Callithrix jacchus: one gene and its partners. The protein of the gene in region 5 binds, or shares a complex with, the protein of the main gene of each other region. Links are inferred from orthologs where the notes say so. Each region holds a gene or a part of one and is shown on either strand. Other genes may lie near its edges.

The links.
Region 1: the proteins of CALCR (region 5) and RAMP3 are in contact, whole or in part, in a cryo-EM structure (PDB 8F0K), measured with the Homo sapiens proteins. The link is inferred for Callithrix jacchus from reciprocal best matches to the Homo sapiens genes CALCR and RAMP3. Residues at the interface, in NP_001158210.1 of Homo sapiens: Arg45, Lys46, Met49, Asp50, Gln52, Tyr53, Lys54, Tyr56, Asp57, Met59, Gln60, Arg74, Thr75, Trp76, Asp77, Gly78, Asn124, Arg126, Phe235, Leu238, Ile242, Thr246, Gln257, Arg258, Trp261, Tyr262, Leu264, Leu265, Phe269, Ile276; in NP_005847.1 of Homo sapiens: Cys57, Leu59, Ile63, Tyr66, Glu67, Thr70, Tyr83, Trp84, Pro85, Gln90, Ile93, Thr94, His97, Arg98, Phe101, Ser102, Cys104, Val106, His110, Leu111, Glu112, Asp113, Pro114, Val118, Leu119, Leu122, Ile123, Pro126, Val127, Leu129.
Region 2: the proteins of CALCR (region 5) and guanine nucleotide-binding protein G(s) subunit alpha isoforms XLas are in contact, whole or in part, in a cryo-EM structure (PDB 7TYY), measured with the Homo sapiens proteins. The link is inferred for Callithrix jacchus from reciprocal best matches to the Homo sapiens genes CALCR and GNAS. Residues at the interface, in NP_001158210.1 of Homo sapiens: Arg180, His184, Glu240, Tyr243, Leu244, Leu247, Ile248, Val249, Val250, Ala251, Val252, Phe253, Glu255, Lys256, Ile319, Val322, Leu323, Lys326, Met327, Glu329, Thr330, Lys340, Lys343, Ala344, Ile347, Leu348, Leu351, Tyr391, Asn395, Asn396; in NP_000507.1 of Homo sapiens: Lys34, Gln35, Arg38, Ala39, His41, Val217, Phe219, Tyr358, Phe376, Cys379, Arg380, Asp381, Ile383, Gln384, Arg385, His387, Leu388, Gln390, Tyr391, Glu392, Leu393, Leu394.
Region 3: the proteins of CALCR (region 5) and RAMP2 are in contact, whole or in part, in a cryo-EM structure (PDB 7TYX), measured with the Homo sapiens proteins. The link is inferred for Callithrix jacchus from reciprocal best matches to the Homo sapiens genes CALCR and RAMP2. Residues at the interface, in NP_001158210.1 of Homo sapiens: Arg45, Lys46, Met48, Met49, Asp50, Gln52, Tyr53, Lys54, Tyr56, Asp57, Met59, Gln60, Trp76, Gly78, Arg126, Phe235, Leu238, Ile242, Thr246, Val250, Glu255, Lys256, Gln257, Arg258, Trp261, Tyr262, Leu264, Leu265, Phe269, Pro273; in NP_005845.2 of Homo sapiens: Trp86, Tyr93, Ser94, Arg97, Asp98, Glu101, Leu109, Pro112, Glu117, Ile120, Phe121, His124, Phe128, Cys131, Pro136, Phe138, Ser139, Asp140, Pro141, Leu146, Met149, Ile150, Pro153, Ile154, Leu156, Ile157, Leu160, Ile161, Leu163, Val164.
Region 4: the proteins of CALCR (region 5) and RAMP1 are in contact, whole or in part, in a cryo-EM structure (PDB 9AUC), measured with the Homo sapiens proteins. The link is inferred for Callithrix jacchus from reciprocal best matches to the Homo sapiens genes CALCR and RAMP1. Residues at the interface, in NP_001158210.1 of Homo sapiens: Arg45, Lys46, Met49, Asp50, Gln52, Tyr53, Tyr56, Asp57, Met59, Gln60, Gln61, Thr75, Trp76, Asp77, Gly78, Asn124, Arg126, Phe235, Leu238, Ile242, Thr246, Val250, Ala251, Gln257, Arg258, Trp261, Tyr262, Leu265, Phe269, Ile276; in NP_005846.1 of Homo sapiens: Trp59, Ile63, Tyr66, Arg67, Ala70, Asp71, Phe83, Trp84, Pro85, Val89, Asp90, Phe93, Leu94, His97, Gly98, Phe101, Ser103, Arg109, Ala110, Val111, Arg112, Asp113, Pro114, Ile118, Leu119, Phe122, Ile123, Pro126, Ile127, Val129.

What each region holds. Positions count from the first base shown.
Region 1 is NC_133512.1:13,219,856-13,223,820, reverse strand, and holds the start of RAMP3 (receptor activity-modifying protein 3), read right to left. Parts: upstream 2,803-3,965; 5' UTR 2,780-2,802; coding exon 2,722-2,779; intron 1-2,721. UniProt on the Homo sapiens protein: Accessory protein that interacts with and modulates the function of G-protein coupled receptors including calcitonin gene-related peptide type 1 receptor (CALCRL), calcitonin receptor (CALCR) and G-protein coupled estrogen receptor 1 (GPER1).
Region 2 is NC_133506.1:54,421,113-54,425,254, reverse strand, and holds the start of guanine nucleotide-binding protein G(s) subunit alpha isoforms XLas, read right to left. Parts: upstream 2,806-4,142; 5' UTR 2,275-2,805; coding exon 180-2,274; intron 1-179. UniProt on the Homo sapiens protein: Guanine nucleotide-binding proteins (G proteins) function as transducers in numerous signaling pathways controlled by G protein-coupled receptors (GPCRs).
Region 3 is NC_133506.1:121,132,024-121,135,830, forward strand, and holds RAMP2 (receptor activity-modifying protein 2), read right to left. Parts: upstream 2,329-3,807; 5' UTR 2,293-2,328; coding exon 2,196-2,292; intron 1,731-2,195; coding exon 1,665-1,730; intron 1,189-1,664; coding exon 1,080-1,188; intron 947-1,079; coding exon 691-946; 3' UTR 506-690; downstream 1-505. UniProt on the Homo sapiens protein: Accessory protein that interacts with and modulates the function of G-protein coupled receptors including calcitonin gene-related peptide type 1 receptor (CALCRL) and calcitonin receptor (CALCR). Required for the transport of CALCRL to the plasma membrane.
Region 4 is NC_133507.1:159,154,836-159,159,047, forward strand, and holds the start of RAMP1 (receptor activity-modifying protein 1), read left to right. Parts: upstream 1-1,409; 5' UTR 1,410-1,457; coding exon 1,458-1,509; intron 1,510-4,212. UniProt on the Homo sapiens protein: Accessory protein that interacts with and modulates the function of G-protein coupled receptors including calcitonin gene-related peptide type 1 receptor (CALCRL) and calcitonin receptor (CALCR). Required for the transport of CALCRL to the plasma membrane.
Region 5 is NC_133512.1:56,118,417-56,121,924, reverse strand, and holds part of CALCR (calcitonin receptor), read right to left. Parts: intron 2,693-3,508; coding exon 2,539-2,692; intron 887-2,538; coding exon 776-886; intron 1-775. UniProt on the Homo sapiens protein: G protein-coupled receptor activated by ligand peptides amylin (IAPP), calcitonin (CT/CALCA) and calcitonin gene-related peptide type 1 (CGRP1/CALCA).

The DNA of each region.
Region 1 (3,965 bases), about 43 Mb from region 5:
GGGCCATGGTCAGTTGACCTTGGGAGGCTGTGGATTCTGGGCGGTTCTGCGGTCTCTGTGGCTGGGCAACTCCTTCTGTACCCTCCAGACTTCTGTTTCCTTACCCACAGCATGAAGAGTAAGGTCACATAACCTCCAAGACACCTCCAGCACGAAAACTCTATGGGCCTCTTCTTGGTCAATCACCACCTTCAAGTCTTTTTTTTTTGAGACAGAGTCTTGCTCTTGTTGCCCAGGCTGGAGTGCAATGGCATAATCTCTGCTCATTGCAACCTCTGCCTCCCAGGTTCAAGCAATTCTCCTGCCTCGGCCTCCCAAGTAGCTGGGATTACAGATGGCCACCACCACGCCCAGCTAATTTTTATACTTTTAGTAGAGACAGAGTTTCACCATGTTGGCTAGGCTGGTCTCGAACTCCTGACCTCGTGAGCCACCCGCCTTGGCCTCCCAAAGTGCTGGGATTACAGGTATGAGCCACGGCGCCCGGCTGACCTTCAAGTCTTTACTTCACCAGAGTTACTGCTATCCAACCACGGCCCGTGGGCCCACTTGATTCAGCAGAATCGGTGTGACCACAGGTAACAGGGTAGCAGGACATCATTACTTTCACTCATGATAACAAAGGTGGTACCATGTTCACACACTTGCACACACAGGCACACACACACACTACGGTGCTCCATCTTGGGGTGCTGTGAGTAAGCCTCATGAGACCCACTGCGGTTACTGGTGGGTGCCTTCCCATCCCTCCCCTTGTTTAAGCATGAACCCTCCCCCCCGCCCCCACAATCTCATGATGCCCAGCACAAGGCAACAGGGAAGAAACTGAACGGAATCAAACTGACGGTCTCAGCGCCCTCTACAGGTTGCTATTATTATATCTACATTGCAGTTGGGAAACTGAGGCTAAGGGCCAGTGAGTGCCTTAGAATCTTGGGATCACGATCAGGATTTTCACCCAGACCAGAAGAGTCCAGTCAAGGGCTGGGCACCACAGCAAAGCTCCCTGCTGAGTAGCCACCTGCTGGACTTCACACCCCTATGGCCCCACAGCATCAAATGCTTTCTGGGAAAAGGCTTGGAATTCTCAAAGAAGCCCCAGAGGCCAGCACCCTCCCTGCTGGCCTGCCAGAGCCAGTCCTCACTCAAGAGGAACACAACCTGCTCCTTCTTCCAGGTACAGCAGCATCCAGGGCAGATGTGAACTCCAATCCCACCTCTGACATCAGCCAGTGACCATGAGCAAGTTTTAGCTCTCTCTGAATCTCTCTAGCCGGGCGAACACTGGGAGGGTCTCCTGAGAAGCTGGACCTGGTCTCCATTCTGTCCAGGGAGCAGGAACCCATGTCCCATTGGAGGGGGACAGTCAGGGCGAACATGACAAGACAAAGAAGTGGCCCTCAGAACCGGGTCCACAAGAGACAGGATTGTTAAGAGGGGAGGTTCTGTGCAAGCGGAAGTCTGTGGTCCTGCTCAATTCCATACTGGAGGCAATCAGGAGAGCCTCAGCTTCTCCCAGAAAGAATTCAGAGGCCCTTCCTTCCACTGTAGGGACAAAGATCTCCCCCTGAGGGGCTCTCACTGGAAGCTTGCTGAAATCCCAAATCAGCATGCACCTTTGCACTTCAACACAAATTCCACCACAGCCTAGGCTCCAGCCCTGGGGCACAAAATGAAGCCACGCACTAAGGTTCCGCACACCAAGACCTCCTCAATGGAAGGAAAACGACTGCTGAGTTTGGTCCACCCTTTCCCATCTCCCTTACCAAAGGCAAAATCATCAAAACAGGCCCAATTGTGCATCTTACAGCCAGGAAGACTGGGGACCACCAGGCCAGAGCCCTCCATCTCCAACGTCCCCCCAGAATTGGCCAGGCTCAATCACCGCTTAGCGGACCCCAGCCCAGCCCTCAGCAAGCGCTCTTCCCCAACAGCCCTTACACACACACACTCTCTCTCTCTCTCTCTCTCTCTCTCTCTCTCTCTCTCTCTCTCTCTTTCTCCCCCTATCTCTCTCGCTCGCTCTCTCCCTCTCTCTCTCTCTCTCCCCCTCCCTCCCTCCCTTTCTTTTTCTTGGATAATTTCTTTAGTTAAGATACTTCAAAACAAGCTTTTAGTTTAATCTATTCCCATTTTGTGAGCAACAGTTCTCCCCAGAGTCCTGATTTCTTGCGGAGGAAGGCTGAGAGCGTCTCCCAGCTTTCCCTCTCAGCCAGCTCCAGGACACACACAGGTGTCCACACACTGAAGGGCTCCGCTGGGGTGACCAGCTACCCAGTCCGGAGTCCACCCGCCCGCGCCCCTGTGAGTGGTGGGCACGCACTCAATGCCAGGACAGGGAGCTCACTACCTCACACGCAGTCCATCTTGTGGGATGGGGGAAAGGATCCAGACCTGGTCCGCCCCCGCTCACCCACCCTGAGGCCACCCCAGAACAGGGGTGTGAGGGACATCACAACTAGGAGGAGCGGGGGCTGCCTGACCCCGCCGGCAAAAGAGTCCCTGTGCCTCCCTTGCCCGCCGGAGTCCTTCGCCCCCAGCTCCTCCCGAGTAGAACCCTCCTGCAGAGTCTGGGGACCCCTCCAGGGTCACTGCGCGCGCCTCCCCAGCTCCGGAGCAAGGGAAGGAGCGCGGCGCAGGTGCGGGAAGGTGCCGGTCCACGCGAGTCCTGTCGACCCCGGGGGTTGGGGGCGCACCCGGTGCGGGCCGACGCCCCCTTACCGCAGAGCAGCAGCAGCAGCGGGAGAAGTTGCGGGCGCCACCGCGCTCGCGTCTCCATGGCTGGCCGGCCGCGGCTGGGTCAGGCTCGGTCCAGCTAGGGGAGCGGCTTGGGGGGAGGCCGGGATGGGGCGGGATGGGGCGGGGCCTCAGGGGGTCCGCCCCCCAGGCCGCGCCCCGCCAGGCCGCGCGCCTCTGGCGGTGCCCGGACGCCTTCAGAAGTGGGATGCAGCGGGGTGGGACGGAGCAGGGCTGGAGTCTGGGCTGGAATCTAGGCGGGGGCTGGGTTACGAGCTGGGGATAAGCTGGGGTAAGGTAGGGGACGGGCTGATGGGCTCTGAGAGTGGGTCAGGGTTGCTGAGCTGCAAAGGAGCGTTTTGGGGGCAGACTGTAGGGGCAGGCTGGGAGGTGAGCTGGGGTGAGGGTGGGGCCCGACTGATGGCGGGCTGGGGTGCAGGCTGGAGGGACTTGGGGAACTTCCGTCCAGGCTGTGGGACAGAGTGTGGGGATAGACCGGGGAGAGAGCTAAGGTGAGGGTGAAGCACGGGCTGATGATGGGCTGGGGGCTACTGGGGGTAGACTGGAGGAAGGTGGACCTGGGGGTGGGTGTGCCCTGGCCGAAAGTAGGCCAGAGTACAAAGCCACACTCCGGGCAGGGAGGGGACCTTTGAGAAGAGACACATCTAGAAGCCAGGTCTCCAAGGGTCAGGAAAAGTGCTGAAGGAGGCTGGGGTGTGTGTGTGTGTGTGTGTGTGTGTGTGTGCGCGCTCATGGAGTATGTGGCTGTGAGTGTGGTGTGCATGTGGGGTGTATGTGTAGGTGCGTGTGTGTGCATGGAGTATGTGATGTATGGTGTGTGTGGCATATGTGAGTTTGTAGATCTGAGATGAGGTGTGTTTGTGACTGTGAGCCTGGGAGACAGTGTGTGTGAGAAGAGACAAGGGTGTGGCAACTGCACACAGAGAGACACATCACACACAAAGGACGAAGCCACAAGCAAACCGAGGGGCAGGAGACTATCTGACACCCCCCAAAGTCCTGGCCTCGAAGAGTGTTGGGGTCCCTGAGGGGAGGGAGGGCCTCAGTTTCTCCAGCCACAGGTCACTTAGCCAGATGGGTCGCCTCTGTCACCCTTAGCCCCTAGCACAGGCCCCGGCTCCCATGGACACTTGACAGTGTCTTCAAAATTGTCTCTGGTCAGAACTTCTGAGACTCAGCTAGAGGCACCTCTCTGCCCCCCAGGCCCC
Region 2 (4,142 bases), on a different chromosome or scaffold from region 5:
TCCCGCTCCCAGGGCAAAGTTAGGGTCCCTCCCTGGAACTTTCTAGCAGGCTCTTCCTGCCTTTGGCTGAACCCCCTCCTCCCACTGCCGAGCCCCGCGCGTCCCACCGGGCAGCCCTGCCACCCCCTCCCCGGTTCCCTGGCGGCCCTGCTGCCGACAGGCAGAGTCCGCCGCATTACCTAGAAGCAGCAGGCGGTGCGTACACATGTAGCCCATCTTTTCGTCCTGGAGTTGCTTGTCGATGAGCTTGCTGCGTTTCTTCTCTGCACGCTTCTGGGCCCGCTTCTCCAGGGCTTCTTTGCGCATCTGTCTGCGTTTCTCCGCCAGGGGTACCTTCTTGACCTTGGGGGAGCGTGAAGCTTTGGGCTGGGGACTCTCAGATCGACCGAAGCAGCCCCCGAAGGCTTGCATGAGGAAGTTGCGGAGTAAGTTGCGCCGGGGCTTTCGGCGGCGGCGGTTTCGCCGATGCTGAAACCAGCGGATGCATCCGAAGGTCCCATCGTCGGACTCGTCTCCGCTGGAGTCATCGTCGCTGCTGGCCGCCCCTTCATCGTAGTACCCGTGGCGGCCGCGGCTGCGCTCGGACTTGCCCCGCCAGGCAGACGCGCGAGTAGGCCGTGGAGTAGGCGGATCGGCAGCCTGGATTTCGGGGCTGGGGGGTCTAAGGAGATGGAGCTTGCGTCTGGCCCCGGAGGCAGGGGCTGCAGAGGCTGCCCGGGCTGCTGGGGCTGCCCGGGCGGCAGGAGCGGCTGGGGCAGCTGGGGCCCCAGCGTCAGGCGCAGCTGGGGCGACAGGGGCTGCCCCGGTCTCAGCAGCCGCAGGGGCGCCGGGAGCGTCAGGGGCTGCCCGGGAGTCAGGATCGGCTGGGGCGTCAGGGGCTGCCCCGGCATCTGGATCGGCTGGGGCGTCAGGGGCTGCCCCAGAGTCGGGATCGGCTGGGGCTGCCCCAGAGTCGGGATCGGCTGGGGCTGTCCCGGAGTCGGGATCGGCTGGGGCTTCCCGGGAGTCGGGACTGCCTGGGGCTGTCCCGGAGTCGGGATCGGCTGGGGCTGCCCGGGAGTCGGGATCGGCTGGGGCTGCAGGGGCCGCCCTGGCTGCGGGATCCGCTGAGGCTGCCCCGGCGGCAGGGGATCTGTCCCCCGGAGAGGGGACTTTTCCTCCCTCCGTGGCATCGGTGGCTGTGCCTCCTTCCATCTCGGCTGCTTCCTCCTCAACTGGGGGTCTCTCTGCTCGCTCTCTCTTATCTGGGGCTCCGGAGACCTTGATGGGCGGGCCGTCAAGCGCGATTGGGGGGCTGTCCATGTTGACGGGAGCGTCGTCGACCCCAGCGGGGGCGCTGCCAATCTCAAGTGGGGGTCCGGAGATCTCCATCGGGGGGCTGCTGCTGGTGAAGTTAGGAGGTCTGACAGCCTCTCGGGATGGGCTGCCGATGGTTCCTGGGACCCAGAGGGGAGGCGCATTCGCGGCGGGAGTGAGGCGGACCGCACTCGAGACCGCGACTGCCGCAAACTGGCCACCGCCGTCGTCGACTTGTGCGATGACTCGGGAAAGCCCCGGGGGTGGGCTGTCTTCCCCAAAGCCTTCTCCATCAAGCTCAAATGGCATAGTCTCCTCAGGGGGAGGGCTATAGCCTCCTCCGGAGCCAGCCTTTGGAGGCTTGAGGGCTTGGGGCTCCTCGGGAGGAGCTCTGGGGACCCCTGCAGCACCTGGGCCTCCTGGAGCAAGGTCTGGGACCTGTAAGAGAGGTTGACTGCAGCCTCTCTGGGCAGGCTGGTCAAATTCAAAGGGCATAGCTTCTTCTGGTGGAGGGCTGTATCCTCCCACACCTGGTCTGCCACCACCGAAGGCTCCAGGCTCCATGAGTGCTGAGCCGAAGGCCTCAAGGCCTGTCTGGGCCCCACTGGGGGATCCAGGCTGCTCCAGTGTGGGCCAGAAGCCTCCCAAGCTGGGCTGTTCGACCTCGAAGGGCATGGCTTCCTCGGGAGGTGGGCTGTAGCTTCCATGGGCTCCAGCTTCCTTGAAGGGCGGACTGAGAACCTGAAAGTTGGGCCTGGAGACCACTGGGGTTCCACAGGCCTCGCCGTCATTCTCGAGGGGGATGGGCTCGCTGTAAGGCGGTTCGGTCTCCATCTCTTCGGCTGGGCTAGGCCCAGCACCGGGGGCAGCTGCCCCTGGGGCCTCCAAAGGTGGTTGCTCGGGCTGTTCCCCGATTTCAGGGGAGATATCGTGTTGTCCTGACATATTATTGCCGTCGAGGCAGTTGCGCACGCCCATAACACGGTGGCGGCTTCTTAAAATAAGTTTGGGGCTCCGTAGGACGGAGCACCCAACCGAACTAGGGTGAAAAAAAAATTTTAGAAAAAAATCAAAGTACCAGCTGGAAAGTTCTCCAGCCTCACTTTCCAACCCTTGTGAGGTTGGGGGGTTCAGGGCCTGGAACCCTAGACCGAGGCTGAAGCAACCCAATTGTTACTGGTGGAGTCTTGGTTCCTTCCAGGCCACTTTTTATCCCCTTAGGCTGCACCTCCAGCCCCTCTTCCTTGGTCTGTCCTTATACCCTCCTCTCTTTTTCTTTCTGCTCCAGGCCAGTCCCGCCTGCTTGGATCTGACGAGCGTGCCGATTCGGTCCGAAAATCGCCAGTAGCGCTCTCTCTCTGCCACCAGAGGACGCCGGTTCCAGTGCCAAGCTGGCTCCGGCTCCAGGAGCCTGCTCCCGGCACCAGCAGCCCAGGACTTTGGGTAAGGGGGCTGATGAGCGCAGGCCTCGCAGGGATGTTTTGGCTCCTTCCACTCCTCTCTCCGACTGATTTGGAGTCTTTCTCCTCGCTTCTCCCCTGTCCAGAGAAAGATCTCCTGCGTTGCAGGACACGTGACGCAAGACGTGGGCCTCGGGACGCTGGAGTACAGGAGCTGAAACCCTCCCTCCCCAACCCAACAGACTCCTCGGGGGAGGGGGACTGAAGAAGGGTTTCATCACCCCAGGACACCCCCGAACCCCTGAGTCATAGCCCCCAGCCTCCAGGCAGCCCTGGATCTCAAGTCCCTGGTCCAGAGCGCAAGACTTTTGGTGCCTGGGAAGGGGGCGCAGGTGTGCACAGGGATGCGACAGGTGGTCGTGGGCCCACCAGAGAAGCAGAGAGAGGCGAGGGCGAGGGGATGCCGAGTGTGCGAGCGCATAATGTGTTTTTTAAATGCCTTGGGTGTACTTTTTGCTGCTTTTGCTTGTCGCTCGCTGAGTTTGGCTCCGGTAAAGCACTTTAAGAGACCCCATCCCCATCACACTCTAGGGGTCTCTACAGTAGCCCATAGCGGTGCAGGCAGGGTGCTCCGCCGTTTATGTGGATGGTGACGCAGGGGAATAAGAGGGTCTCAGGTGCGCACCGCCGCGAGCAAAGCCCCCTAGGCAGTAGCTGCGGTGGTACCGATGGAGGGGTGGGACCCGTGCTGCTCAAAGGGAACCCCACAAATTGGTCTCAGAGTTTCACAGGTCCTACTGTTCCAGGGAAGGATTAAAGGGGATTTTGGTTGCGGTTTATGGCCGGTTTGGGGTGGTTTCGGAGAATGGACTGTGCCGTGCGCACTGAACCCACTGATAAACACCGTGCCGCGCGGCAACCACAGCTGAGGTGCGTGGCTCGCAGCTTCAGGCGCCCGCCGCAGAGCCGGTCAGTCCGCTTCTCTAGCCCCACTACAGCCTGTCTCCAGCACCCTTCCAGCCCCTCTCCTCTCGCTCTGGGTATCTTAGTGTAGCCCTTTACTTTTCCACTGCAAGAGCCGGCTGAGGTAGCACTGAGCCCGCCATCCAGCCACAAACCCGGCGGTTGCCCTCGCAGCTGCGCTCCCGCTACCGTGCTGCGGTGGGCTCAGAGCCAGCGGAAGGTAAACACCCACATCACCTGGTGGCCTTGGTGCGTGCACATGCTGTGTTCTGGTCTGGGGTCTGCAGAGAGATTTGAGCCCCTGAGAAAAGCTGTTGCTAGGGGTCACGTAAAACCCGGCAGGCGCGTATCGGGTCTTTCTCAACAGTGATTAGGGGCGTATCGGGTCTGTCTCAACAGTGATTGACAGACTGTTGAGCCACGTTTAGGCACAGAGCAGCTGGGTAGGGTGTCACCTGGTCTGCAGAACCCTGGGGGAGAAGA
Region 3 (3,807 bases), on a different chromosome or scaffold from region 5:
GGAGTGGTGAACCTAGTAGAGGAAGCCCCTACTGCTTTTGCCCTTAATTGTGAGGTCCTTAGGAATGGATTCCTGTTGCTCAGCCAGGGTTCCTCTTCCCAGGCCCTGGGAGTAAACTGAGGCATGAAGAAGGGAACAGTCAGGGCCCCTTGGGCAGCCTCCTGTCCCTCTTGCAGAGTCACAAGCAGAGATTCCTCCCTTGCCCCTTCCCCCACACCTCCCCAGTCGCAGGCCCCCAGCTGCTGTCCAGACCGGAAGGGAGTCTCTTCCTGCTTGTTTCCTGGAACTGAGTTTGGATAAGGGCAGGAAAGGCCCCCCTGGAAGGAAAGAATATAGGGGTGTGACCTTCATGGAGGTTGAGAGCAGGGGGGCAGGTGAAATTAACAGAATTCAAATTTTTCTGAATCTGGGCCATCCAGATTTTTCCGCTTCTGCTACCCAGAGCTGAGAGCCTGTGGGAGTGGCAGGGAACGACACAGGTCCCACTGAAATGAGGAGAAGGACATTGTACAAAAAAAGGTTTTATTTTGAAGATTACAGAACTTGTGCCATGACCCCACCCGGCCTCCACTTCCAGCAATCCAGGGATCTGTGGTGGGAGCGAGAGTGACAGAAGGGAGAAGGGGAGGAGGGAGGCCCTGTGGGGGTAGGGAAGCAGAGTCAGATGGTTGTTGAGAAGCTTGTGGCCCCCTAAACCTGGGCCTCACTGTCTTTACTCCTCCATACTACAAGAGTGATGAGGAAGGGGATGAGGCAGATGGGGGCTATGATCATGGCCAGGAGTACATCCTCTGGGGGGTCTGAGAAAGTTGGCTGCACCAGGGAGCAGTTGGCAAAGTGGATCTGGTGAGTCTCAAAGATGATCCTCTCTGCCAAGGGATTGGGGAAGCCCAGGTTAAACTCCTCCGCAGAGTGCTCCAAGCAATCTCGCAGGGTGCTATAAGGCCTAGAGGCAGGAGAGGACTTGAGTGAGTGAGGGGGTGGACCCAGGGAGAGAAGTGCCCCACACTCACTCAAGGTCTACCTGCAATAAGCAGGCCCAACCCCGGGCCTGAGCCACCCTCCAGCACCGCCCCTACCTGCTAATCACAGCCCAGTCGCACCAATCCTTTTCGATAGGATCCATTTGATACTTGTAATAATTCCAGCAAAGTTGGACAGCTGCCTCATAGTTCTCCATCATCTTCACTGTAGGTACAGATGCTGCACAATGACCACAGCCCTGCCCCTCCTTCCAAACCCTCCTGCCCAGGTGCCTGCCTTCAAACGGGGGGGGGGGGGGGGGTGCGAACCCTTCAGAAAGTTTCCCTAGCAAGAAGTTCTGGCTGAGGAGAGTCCCAGCTCAGGAATCCTGTAACGACTTCCCTGTGCTAAGCACTTTCCATCCCAGCCTGATAAGAAGTTCCACGTACACCTTTTCCTGGGGTCTTCTCACCCACCTGTGAGGTGGGCCAGTTCAGAGCTGTGCAGGGACTTTGTGGGAAGACAGGGAGAAAGACCACAAGGAACCCCAAGAAAGAACAGAGGGGAGTTTAGTGGGCCATCAGTTGGGGTTGTGCGGGCCTTGTGCGGGCCTTGTGCGGGCCTCGTGGGAAAGGGACTCTCCCCACTGAATTTGCTCTCGTCCTTGCCCTCGGCTACCCTTCCACATCCTGGGTACCCACCTTCTGACCCCGGTGTGCCTGTGGTGGGAAGAGGCTGAGCCAGGGTCTCCTGGGGCTTCAGGACAGCTGTGGGGAGAAGCAGGAGAGGAGGGTGGCATAGCGGGGACCCCAGAAGTGGGGTCTGCGGGGGGGGCGGGGGACTGAGACCCTCTGAAAGCAGGGCTACCATGGAAGAAAAAGAGGAATAATCTAGACCCCATGGACATCCCAGCTGGGGAGGGAGGGCCTGGCACCAGCTCCTTGTCACTCACACCCAGGCCCAAAGCCCCCTCCCCTCTGGCCAGCTCCCAGCCTCCCTTGCCCTCTCCGCGGAGCCGGGGCCCGCACTCCAGCTTTCCCCGGTGGGAAGCAGCTTGAGCTATGCCCGCCCCGAGGTGAGGTCAGGGACCGTCCGAAGGCCAGTGCTGCTCTGTCCGTCGGTCCGCGCCCAAACCCCGGGGCCCATTCCCGCCTCGCCCATCCAGCCCCTCTCCCATCTCCCCTCCGGGGCCTCCTACGCTTCCCGCCCGGGCCTCGCGGCGCCGCGCTCACCGCCCAGTAGGAGGAGGAGGCGGAGCGCTGCCGGCCGCCCAGCGCGGGTCGTCGGGAGCCGGGGGTCGCCGGCGCGCTCCGCTCGGAGCGAGGCCATCGTGCAGCAAGGAGGCGAGGGAGCTGCGGCGGCGCTGAGCCTGGCCCGGGTGTGGGGGCGCCTATATCCCCGGCCCGAGCCGCAGGAAGCCGCGCCGCTTCCTCGGAGGGGCTGGGACGGCGGCGGCCACGTGGGGGGCGGGGGCGACGCCCGGGGCCCGCTGCTGGAGGGGGAGTAGCCGCCGCACCCGCGCCGGGCGCCCGCGGCTCCCTCCGCCTTGCCGGCGTTGGCCCACACTCTCTCGCAGTTCACCCCGCGGGGCTGGACAGCTCCCGGAACCCCGGAACCGGGATCTATTTCTGGGGCTCGGCCGCGCGGCGCGCAGGACTCTCCGGGGTCTCCAAGGAGCCGCTCCCGGACTCGAGTCGCCCCCTCTCTTTCCGGGCTGGAGGGGTCGGCGAGCTGCTCTCTCAGACCCGGAGAAGAGGGAGGGGCTGGGAGCTCCAGCGGCCTCTCGACGCCGCTGCACCTAAGGGGCTGCCCTGGGCTGTGGGGGAAGGGGCTCCTGGAGCTGGGCCGGCCAGCTTAGGGTTCCTTATCTATCCCTGGGAACACCCGCTGTTGTCAGCCCGCCAGTCACAACCAGGGAGAAGCGGGAGTCGGCCCTCCAGAGTCGGGAGAAGATCTGGGGAGTGGGGTAGAGGGAAAACAGAAGTCCTGATACCCTCCCTTCAAGACACCTCCTGGGGCCCAGACCCCACAAACCTGTTGGGAGGCAAAATACGATGACTACATTCCTGGGAAGGAGGTGCCGCAGCTCTTCAGGACCAAGGTTGGGAGAAAGGAGGAAAGGGTTTAGAACCTTCAATGTGGGACTTCATGTGCGGGGTGAGTGTATTACTGTCACCATTTTACAGAAACGCTAAAGTTCGGGGCCAGCAGCCCGGGATTTGAATTCAGAAGCTCTGGGTTCTAATTCTGTCTTCCTCCTTCCCAGTCATAGAGCTTGCATGACGCGTTTACCTTCAGGGCTTACATAAAATAGGAACATTCCGCTCCTCACCAGTGAGGATGGCAGCTGAGAAAGGGCAGTGCGCTCACTGAATGTTAGTTTCCTTTCCTCTTTTCCTAAGCCACTTGTCTAACTGACACTACTAAGGAAGCAGCAAGGCCGAGCCTGGGCCTCCAGGGGCCCTGACTTCAGCCACACCACAGCTGCGGCTTGTGTCCTGGGCCAGAGGTTCATTAGCCTGAAGCAGCTGAGGAGCCCAGGAGCTGGTTTGGCCATGACGTTCAAGTCCCAGACACAGCTGTCAGCACCAAACTTTCCTAAATTACTCCCAGACACTGACCCCTGGACTCAGCTGCTGCTGTTGTCCCAGTTTCTGATTCCTGTCCATCACAAATTATCCATCATGGTCTTTCTTGACGTCTTCATCTCAGGGTCTCAGACTCTTGGATCAAGAGCATGGATAACATGCTGTCCTCCTCTGTGGTCAAGAGGCTGCTTTTGTAAGGAATCCAGTGGGAGAGGGTCAATGGCCTGCTTGACATGAACTCCAAAGTCCTCCTGGT
Region 4 (4,212 bases), on a different chromosome or scaffold from region 5:
TGAGAGTTTTAGAGGTTACCCCCTAGATTCACCAACTGAAGGGCAGGGCTTGTTGATGTAACACTGTCTTGCATGTAGGGACACAAATGTCTGTTAAATGAAGAAAGTAGGGAGACCGGGCCACCTAATGGGGTATATCTCCTAGGGTTCAAGAGGGGCTAATCAAGAGAGAGTGTGCCCTCCCCCACCATCTCACCCAGACCCCTCACTCTCAGAACTCTTGGGGCCCCGCGCAGTGGGGGAGAAGGCATGCTGGCCCCGAGGGCCCTCCTAGCCTGTGTTAGAAGAGCTGGTGGATGGCCTCCCTGTCAGCTGTCTCCCCTTCTCTGAGCTTACAGCAGATGGCAGCAGCCGCTCAGCCACTGACTGCTGAGGAACTGTTGGTCACTCAGCAGTGCCGTGTGACTGCAACTTCCACAAGAGAGACAGCTGTGGCCACAACGCTAGGGTGGTGATCCGTCCCCCTCCAGAGGCGGTGCATTCTTTAGCATGAGTATAAATTTACTATTGCTAAGAGTTCTCAGAACAGGTTATTGCAAGAAGGAACCCACTGCAAGGTGAAATCCAGCCACTAGTAATGCCCTTAGAGCCCAGGTCAGGCCTGTGCCTTCCAGAACTTACCCCTCCCCAGGCTTTCCCAGACCATCTCCAGAGCGCCCTCCTCTCACCGCTTTAGATAAAGGAATGCACCCAAGATCCCCCATCAGTTCTCCATGCAGCTGCCAGAGTGACGGTCCCCAAAGCAAACCTCGTCTCTAAGGACTCTCTGCCCAGACCCTCACAAACCTCCTGCCAGGCGCTCGCTACCCATCAACAGCGAGACCCCCAGGCCATCTCAATCTCCCCAAAGAGCCCCGTTCCCTCCAGCCCCCGGCCTCTTCCCACCCACTCATCCTGCAGATCTGGAGCAGCATTCCAGGGCCTGGGAGTGTGCGCCATCTTGGGTTATTAGGGGTCTTCCCCAGGCGCCTGGCGGGGAAGCGGGGGGGAGGTGACGCCAACGCTCCCCAGCGCCTGCACCTGGGAGGAGAGGTAAACGCGGTGGGGAGATCTCAGCCTGTTTGCAAAGCAAACCCCAGGCAGGAGAACCTCGGAGGAGGAGGAGGGGAAGATGCCCAGGTGGAGACCAAGGTGCCGCTCCCTCGGAGTCGCCTAGGAGACCCTCCCTAGTTTAAAAAGTGAGAACATTTCAGAAGGCCTCACTCGAAGTCCAAGTGTGCCGTCCCCCCCGGAGACGCCCGCGCGACTCCCCTGCAAAGTTTTCCCGGCCTCGCGCGCCCCCGGCCCTGGCACCCACCTGGGGAGCCACAGTGGGCCGGGCCACGCGGCCGCCGCCTCCCACCCCTCCCGCGCCCGCGCCCGCCCCCGCCCCCGGCACGTCTCCTCCGGGCGGGCGCCGCGGCGGGCTCAGTCCTCGGCGGGGCGCGTGGTGGGTGGACTGGGCTCCGCTGTGCACCATGGCCCGGGCCCTGTGCCGCCTCCCGCGGCGCTGCCTCTGGCTGCTCCTGGGTGAGTAGGGTCGGGGATCCGGGTCGAACTCTCTTCCCCCGGCCCGCCGGCGTCCTCTAGGGGAGGGGAGGAGAGGGAGGGCGCAGCGGTCCGCTGCCGTTGAACCTGGGCAGCCCGGGTTCCAGGCGGGAGGCCCCAGGGCACCGGGAATCAGAGGGTGCGGACCGGAGTTGCGCCTCTTGCCGCGGAAGGGACGGCTTTGGGGAAGTCGGAGAGCCGGCGTTCTGAAAGGCGTGGGGCGTCAGCTGCGCGCACCGGAGAACTTGTTTCCGGGAGAGAAACAGGACGCGGGGTTCCCCAGCCCCGCACCTCGGTTTCCCAGGCTGTGCGCCGCGGTGACCGCCAGCGCAGGCTCCCCTCCCTAGGCAGTCCCGCGTGGCAAAACCTGCAGGCAGGCGCCTCGCAGAGGACTCGGTGTGCGGGAGTCGGAGCCACTGACCGTTCGTCTGGAGATGAGTCAACACTGATCTCTCGCAGACAGAGCAGTCGCTTGTTTGCTAATGATGCCTTTTGCAGAAATAAGGCCCTCCCTTCTCGAGGCATTTCCATCGCTTTTTTTTTTTTCTTTTTTCTTTTGGTTTGCTTGTTAACTTGGCACTTCCGGCTAATAGAAATTTAGAGGACGGGACCCTTGGTGAAGTGGTGGAACGCGCTCGGCTTTCCACCTGCGGGAAGAGTGGAGATTATCAACTACCCGGTGGCCACAGGAACTGGCCACACACTCAGCAAGGCACGGCCCCGCTCACTGCCCCCATCTGCAGTGCGCTCCCAACATGCTGACTCAAGCCCCTTCTACACTGGTTGTTGCGTTCCGTGTATTTAGCTACCTTTCAACGGAAACCGAATAATAGATTACTGGCGTGGGAGAAAACCCAGTGCCCCTGGGAAGGCCAGAGCAGTTGTTTCTAGTATATGTGGCCTTTTCCCAGAAACAGTGATGTTGGTCAGAGGCACCTGCCGCACAAGTCCCCTTGGCCTGTCACTGGCACTGGGCAAGCAGTGACCGCCAGCGCTGTTTCTGTAGCTGGGGGAGCAGTTCGTGGCCCGGCGAGGAGAGGGGCCCGAGCTTCTTGGGAGCCATGGATTTCTGGTCCCTGTTTGTAAACCTCTCCAAGGAGTGGCAGATCGGCATGGAATCCTCCGAGGCCAACATAATATTATCTGAAAGCGAATCTTGCCACTCGAGTGTTTTGGCTGAAGTTAAGTGGAAAGCCACATCTCAGCGGAATCTTCCCTCCTCTTGTGTTCGGATCCATTTGGCTTGACGTGACCTTCACTGTTTTCGTTTCCTAAGAGACAAACATTTCTTTGTTAGCAAGGCAGAGAGCTGGGCTGTGGAATATTTTTCACATAAATAACCAAATAAATAAATGTTCTTTACTAGTGTCCAGAGACTGCACCCTCTAAGGCTTGTGTAAATAAAACGCTATGTCACGATCACATATACAGACCTTCCTTGTTTACCAAGAAAACTATTCATGTTCTGCTGGAAGTCCAAAGTCCTGTAATTTTAACATCATTTTGAGTGGCCTGGCTAATGTTATATCTTGGAAGGTTATGAGGTTATCGGTAAATTAATGTCATTTGGAGACCAGCTGTAATTCGTGGAATTACTGAGCACAGGCTGTTTCCTTCACAGGCTCTAGCACTAGCCAGATCTCCTTGGTGATGAAGATTCTGCTACCCAGAATGGCAACGTGGAATTTTTTTTTTTTTAAGAACGCTAGTGTGCAGGTTTAAGAACTTATCTGTGACAATTTTACAATCAAGCTATTTGTCTTAGGTAGTTATTGAGATTCTCCCAGCCATGGGAGAATCTCAGTTCACAGTTCACCCAGCCATGATGGCTCACACCTGTAATCCCAGCACTTCGTGAGGCTGAGGTGGGTGGATCACCTGAGGTCAGGAGTTCAAGACCAGCCTGGCCTACATGGCAAAACCTGACTCTACTAAAAATACAAAAAAATTAGCCAGGCATGGGGTGGTGGGCACCTGTAATACCAACTACTCAAGAGGCTGAGGCAGAATTGCTTGAACTTGGGAGGGCAGAGGTGGCAGTGAGCTGAGGTCATGCCGCTGCACTGCAGCCTGGGTGAGAAGAGTGAAAACTCCGTCTCAAAAAAACAAAAAAACAAACCTTAGGATCCATATGTAGTTCTTTTCCCTCCGAGCATCCTATGCACTGTTCTGTTTGCTGGAGACTAACGTAACCACATGCATTTTGAAAGGTTTGTGTAGAGACACCAAAAAGCTGTTTGCTAATCAGGAAGGAAGAATGCATGGCAGCCCTGGTTTCGAGTCCAGCTGCACTCAGGGAGTGCCGGCTGGTGCTGTCACACAGGAACTCAGTCATCTGTCCTGGGAAACGCTTGCCTGCCTTGGCTGTCATGTGGAAGGTGCGTTTTTGTTTTTTTTTTTAATGGCTGCGACATTAATTGAAATATATGACTCTATAAATAGAAGTAGAATTGGAAATGACGGGACACCGTAGGAAGTGCTGTGTGACTGCTTCAGATCGCCACGTGGTTTTAAATCCGGACGCAGTTCTCATGCCGGAGTCCAAATCTGAAGCATTCTCATTTGCTAATCAGTGTGTTTGTTTACCCTCTCTGTGTGTTCAGCTGCAGGAAGAAATGTCTGGATTTGTGTCTTCCTTTCACAGACGCCTTGCCAGTCCGAGGCCAGGGCTATTGAGAAATGTTT
Region 5 (3,508 bases):
AGGACTGAAGGATTATCATCAAATAGCATTTAGTTAGAGATTCCAGGAATATAGCTGGTTTAGGACCTGGCACAAGGCTCTTTCTTTCTTCACTTCCCAACTTTTCCATCACAATGGGAGTTCCCAGAAATGGCTGGCCTGCACTGGTTTTAAAAGTGGTCCTCTGCAATACCACTTTCATTATCTTGCCTTACTGAAGTAAAATTTTGTTTTCAGGGACAAATTTGATCTTTTACTCTTGATGGAAGCACAGAAAGCATCTTTCAAACATTCTTTCAGGGGTAGACTCATTTGTCTTCTTTAATTGGGATTCTAGAGCCACTTAAACAACCCTTGTAGGCTCAGGCTCACTTTACTCTCGTGAACAAATTTCACCCATTAACAGGGACTTCTATGTTGTGCCCGTAGCTAATCCATTTAGTTTCAGCATCCGGGTCTCCTTTGTAATTAAGATTTCTACCCCCTTTTCAGTGAGACAATTGAAGATTTAAAAAAACTCATATTTAAATAAAAATATTCATAGTTTTAGAAAAGCTATGTTTATAAACCAGAATTTAATACCAATATGTACAACTGACCAGCATATCACTTAAAAAAAAGGACAGCTTGTAATATGTGTACAACTAAGTAGTATTTCAATTAAGGAAATGCCTCAGAACCTGCAAAATGTGGAATATAAATAGGTAGGTACATTTTGTATCTGATTTTATTTTCAAAACCATGAAAACTCTAAAAGCTTTATAGCAAGAACATAAAATGAAAATAAACAGTCTACCTGATGGATCAAAATCTGGAAAATAATCTGGGCAGAGCTGATAGGACAGTACTCCAGCCGGTGTGTCATCCCAGCACAGCCATCCATCCCAGGTGCGATTGCAATATGGACCTGGCCATTTAGAAGAAAATTATTATTGAAGCCATGTGGATGTAACTAAAAGAGATTGATCCCAAGACAATATTACATGTAGTTGAACTCACTACACCAGTCATAGCCACCTACATTTCAAACAAGCCAAAGTCATTTATTTTGGAAATAAAGTTTCTAAACTTTATTTATTCTTTATTCATAGCATATCTGTGACCAAATTATCTCACTGACAAACAGGGTTCTATTCCTATTTTGTAAAAGGTTCCAAAGTTGAGCTATCAAAAAAGCAAATAACCCCAAAGATTGCAAGACCATGTCTCTCAAAAGCAAAAACAAAAACTACCCCAAACCATGAAGATTTACATCGACAAAGATATTCAAAACAATCGGATTCAGGCTTTCAATAAAGTTTGAAAAAAATTATTTTAAAAATGAAGAAAATGCTCAGAAAACAGAAAATATCAGTTCTGTGTTTTTATTGTCTCATTGGCTTCAAAGAAATGGTTTCTCCTCTGGTTAAAGTTATATCTAATCCCTGTTCAGTTCTTGATAAATACTGAGACTACTGTAGACAGAAGAATAACATGTATCTGCCTTTTGGTTGACTTGATGTTTTTGTTTAAAGAAAAATGCTAAAAATAAGAACTACAAACTAAAACTTGAACTATTTGAAAGCAAAGAATGTGTAGTAACAGTATATTAACCATTTTTTTCCCTACTAAGTTGGGTTGTCTTAAAATGTACATGGTTGTAGGCCAGATACAGTGGCTCAGGCCTGTAATCCTAGCACTTTGGGAGGCTCACTTGAGCCAAGGAGTTGGAGACCAGCATGGACAACATGGCAAAACCCCATCTCTACAAAAAATTACAAAAATTTTCCAGGCAAGGTATCATGCACCTGTAGTCCCAACTGCCCAGTAGGCTAAAGTTGGAGGAACATCCTGGATGAAAGAGTGAGACTCTGTCTTGAAAAAAACGAAAATATTTGATTGTAAAAGATCTTACTGACTCTTTCCAAATGCCTCAGTGCACAAGCAGGGGAATTTAAAGGGATGTTACAATGAGTTTGCCCATCACGTCTCCCCTTTTCTTTTTCTATGGGTCCTCTACAGCTAATAGGATATGTTTAGACCAGAAAATATATGGGCAGTCACAAAGAGCCATTCTAGAAAACGTGGTAGACAAACAATGTCTGGCTAGGAGGTATCTTTTTCTAATTCTCCTGGAAACTGGGGCCAGAAAGGGTGGAAGAATAGTATGGGTTGCCAACCAATTGACAGTTAAAGGGAAGGTACTCCCTAATTAATCCAAGCAAGACAGGGTTTGATAGGTTCCACCTCAGGCAAGTTCTCTGCCCACTATTTTCCAATTCCCTTTCCTATCAGTTTCCGTGTCCCTCCCTCCGTCAGTCCTGTATTGTTCCTGCTCACCAGGAGTGAATACTGAGTTATTGCAGTAATTTTATCATGAGGGCAGATGTTAGCCAAACTGTAGTCAGATAAACTTGAACAAAGAAATCAGGCATATCCATTGCATGAAATACACAAACATACCACAGTGTGAAAACTGCTGGCATATTAAATTAAAATTATTCAACACATATTTAACCATGAAAGAAAACATCTTTAATGGCATTTCAAGCATATGTTCATATATATCTTTCTTTTTACCTTCTCCTTGGTATGGGGGTAACTGCCTCATTCGTTCATAGCATTTGTACTGTGCATCCATCATCTTCTTTCGTCCTACGACGTAAAGAAATGGCTCCGGCTCTGTTGTTGAAAAGGTTTGATTTGAATTGGTAGGAAAAATTGTGGTTGGGTTCTGTATTAAAAAGAAAAATCAGTTACTTATAGACAGGAGGAATGGGTGAGCACAAATAAATGAGACAACGAAAAAGTTTTCGAAAACATTTATTTTTCCTTCTCTAAGCAATACTTATTCATGGTCTCCATGTAGACTTTTTTTTTCATGTATATAACTAAAAATGTATTTACATTTCATTTACAGATTCTACCTGCAAGTCTTATGTTCGCATGTTTCCATTTGCTATTGAAAATGCATAACACATACACACTCACACACCTCTTTATCAGCTAGAATTGTTTTAATTTTACCATGATTCTAAAGTTTAGAAGTAAACAAAACAAATAATCTGATTTCCAAAAAATACAAATATTAAATCAACTTTAACTTACCCTTAAGAATCATGAATCGTGTTATTAAAAAATAGACATAGCTCAATAAATGTGCTTCTTTTAGTGAAATTTTATTGGTGCTGTGTACACTGCCAGAAATTTACACCATTTATTCCATGGAATAAACAAAATATGTTTTCTGTTCCTCATAATTGACCATAATCTCCTTAAATTGGTTTCAATAGCAGATGACCTGTACAGGGCAATTTATTTTCCCTAATGAAAATCAGTGTATTTATTAGATATTTTTATCAGTACATTTGCATTTTGGGTACAGATTGACAATAGTTTTTTTCAGTTTCAGTTAATCATTACCGTCACAAGTCTCTGTTTTTCAAAGGTAATATGTCTGTGGGTGTTTGAAAAGATCACTCTGTCATACTGTCCTTTCTAACTTGTGTTTAAACAGATTTCAATTTCTTCTGTGGCTATGGCCAGTGTT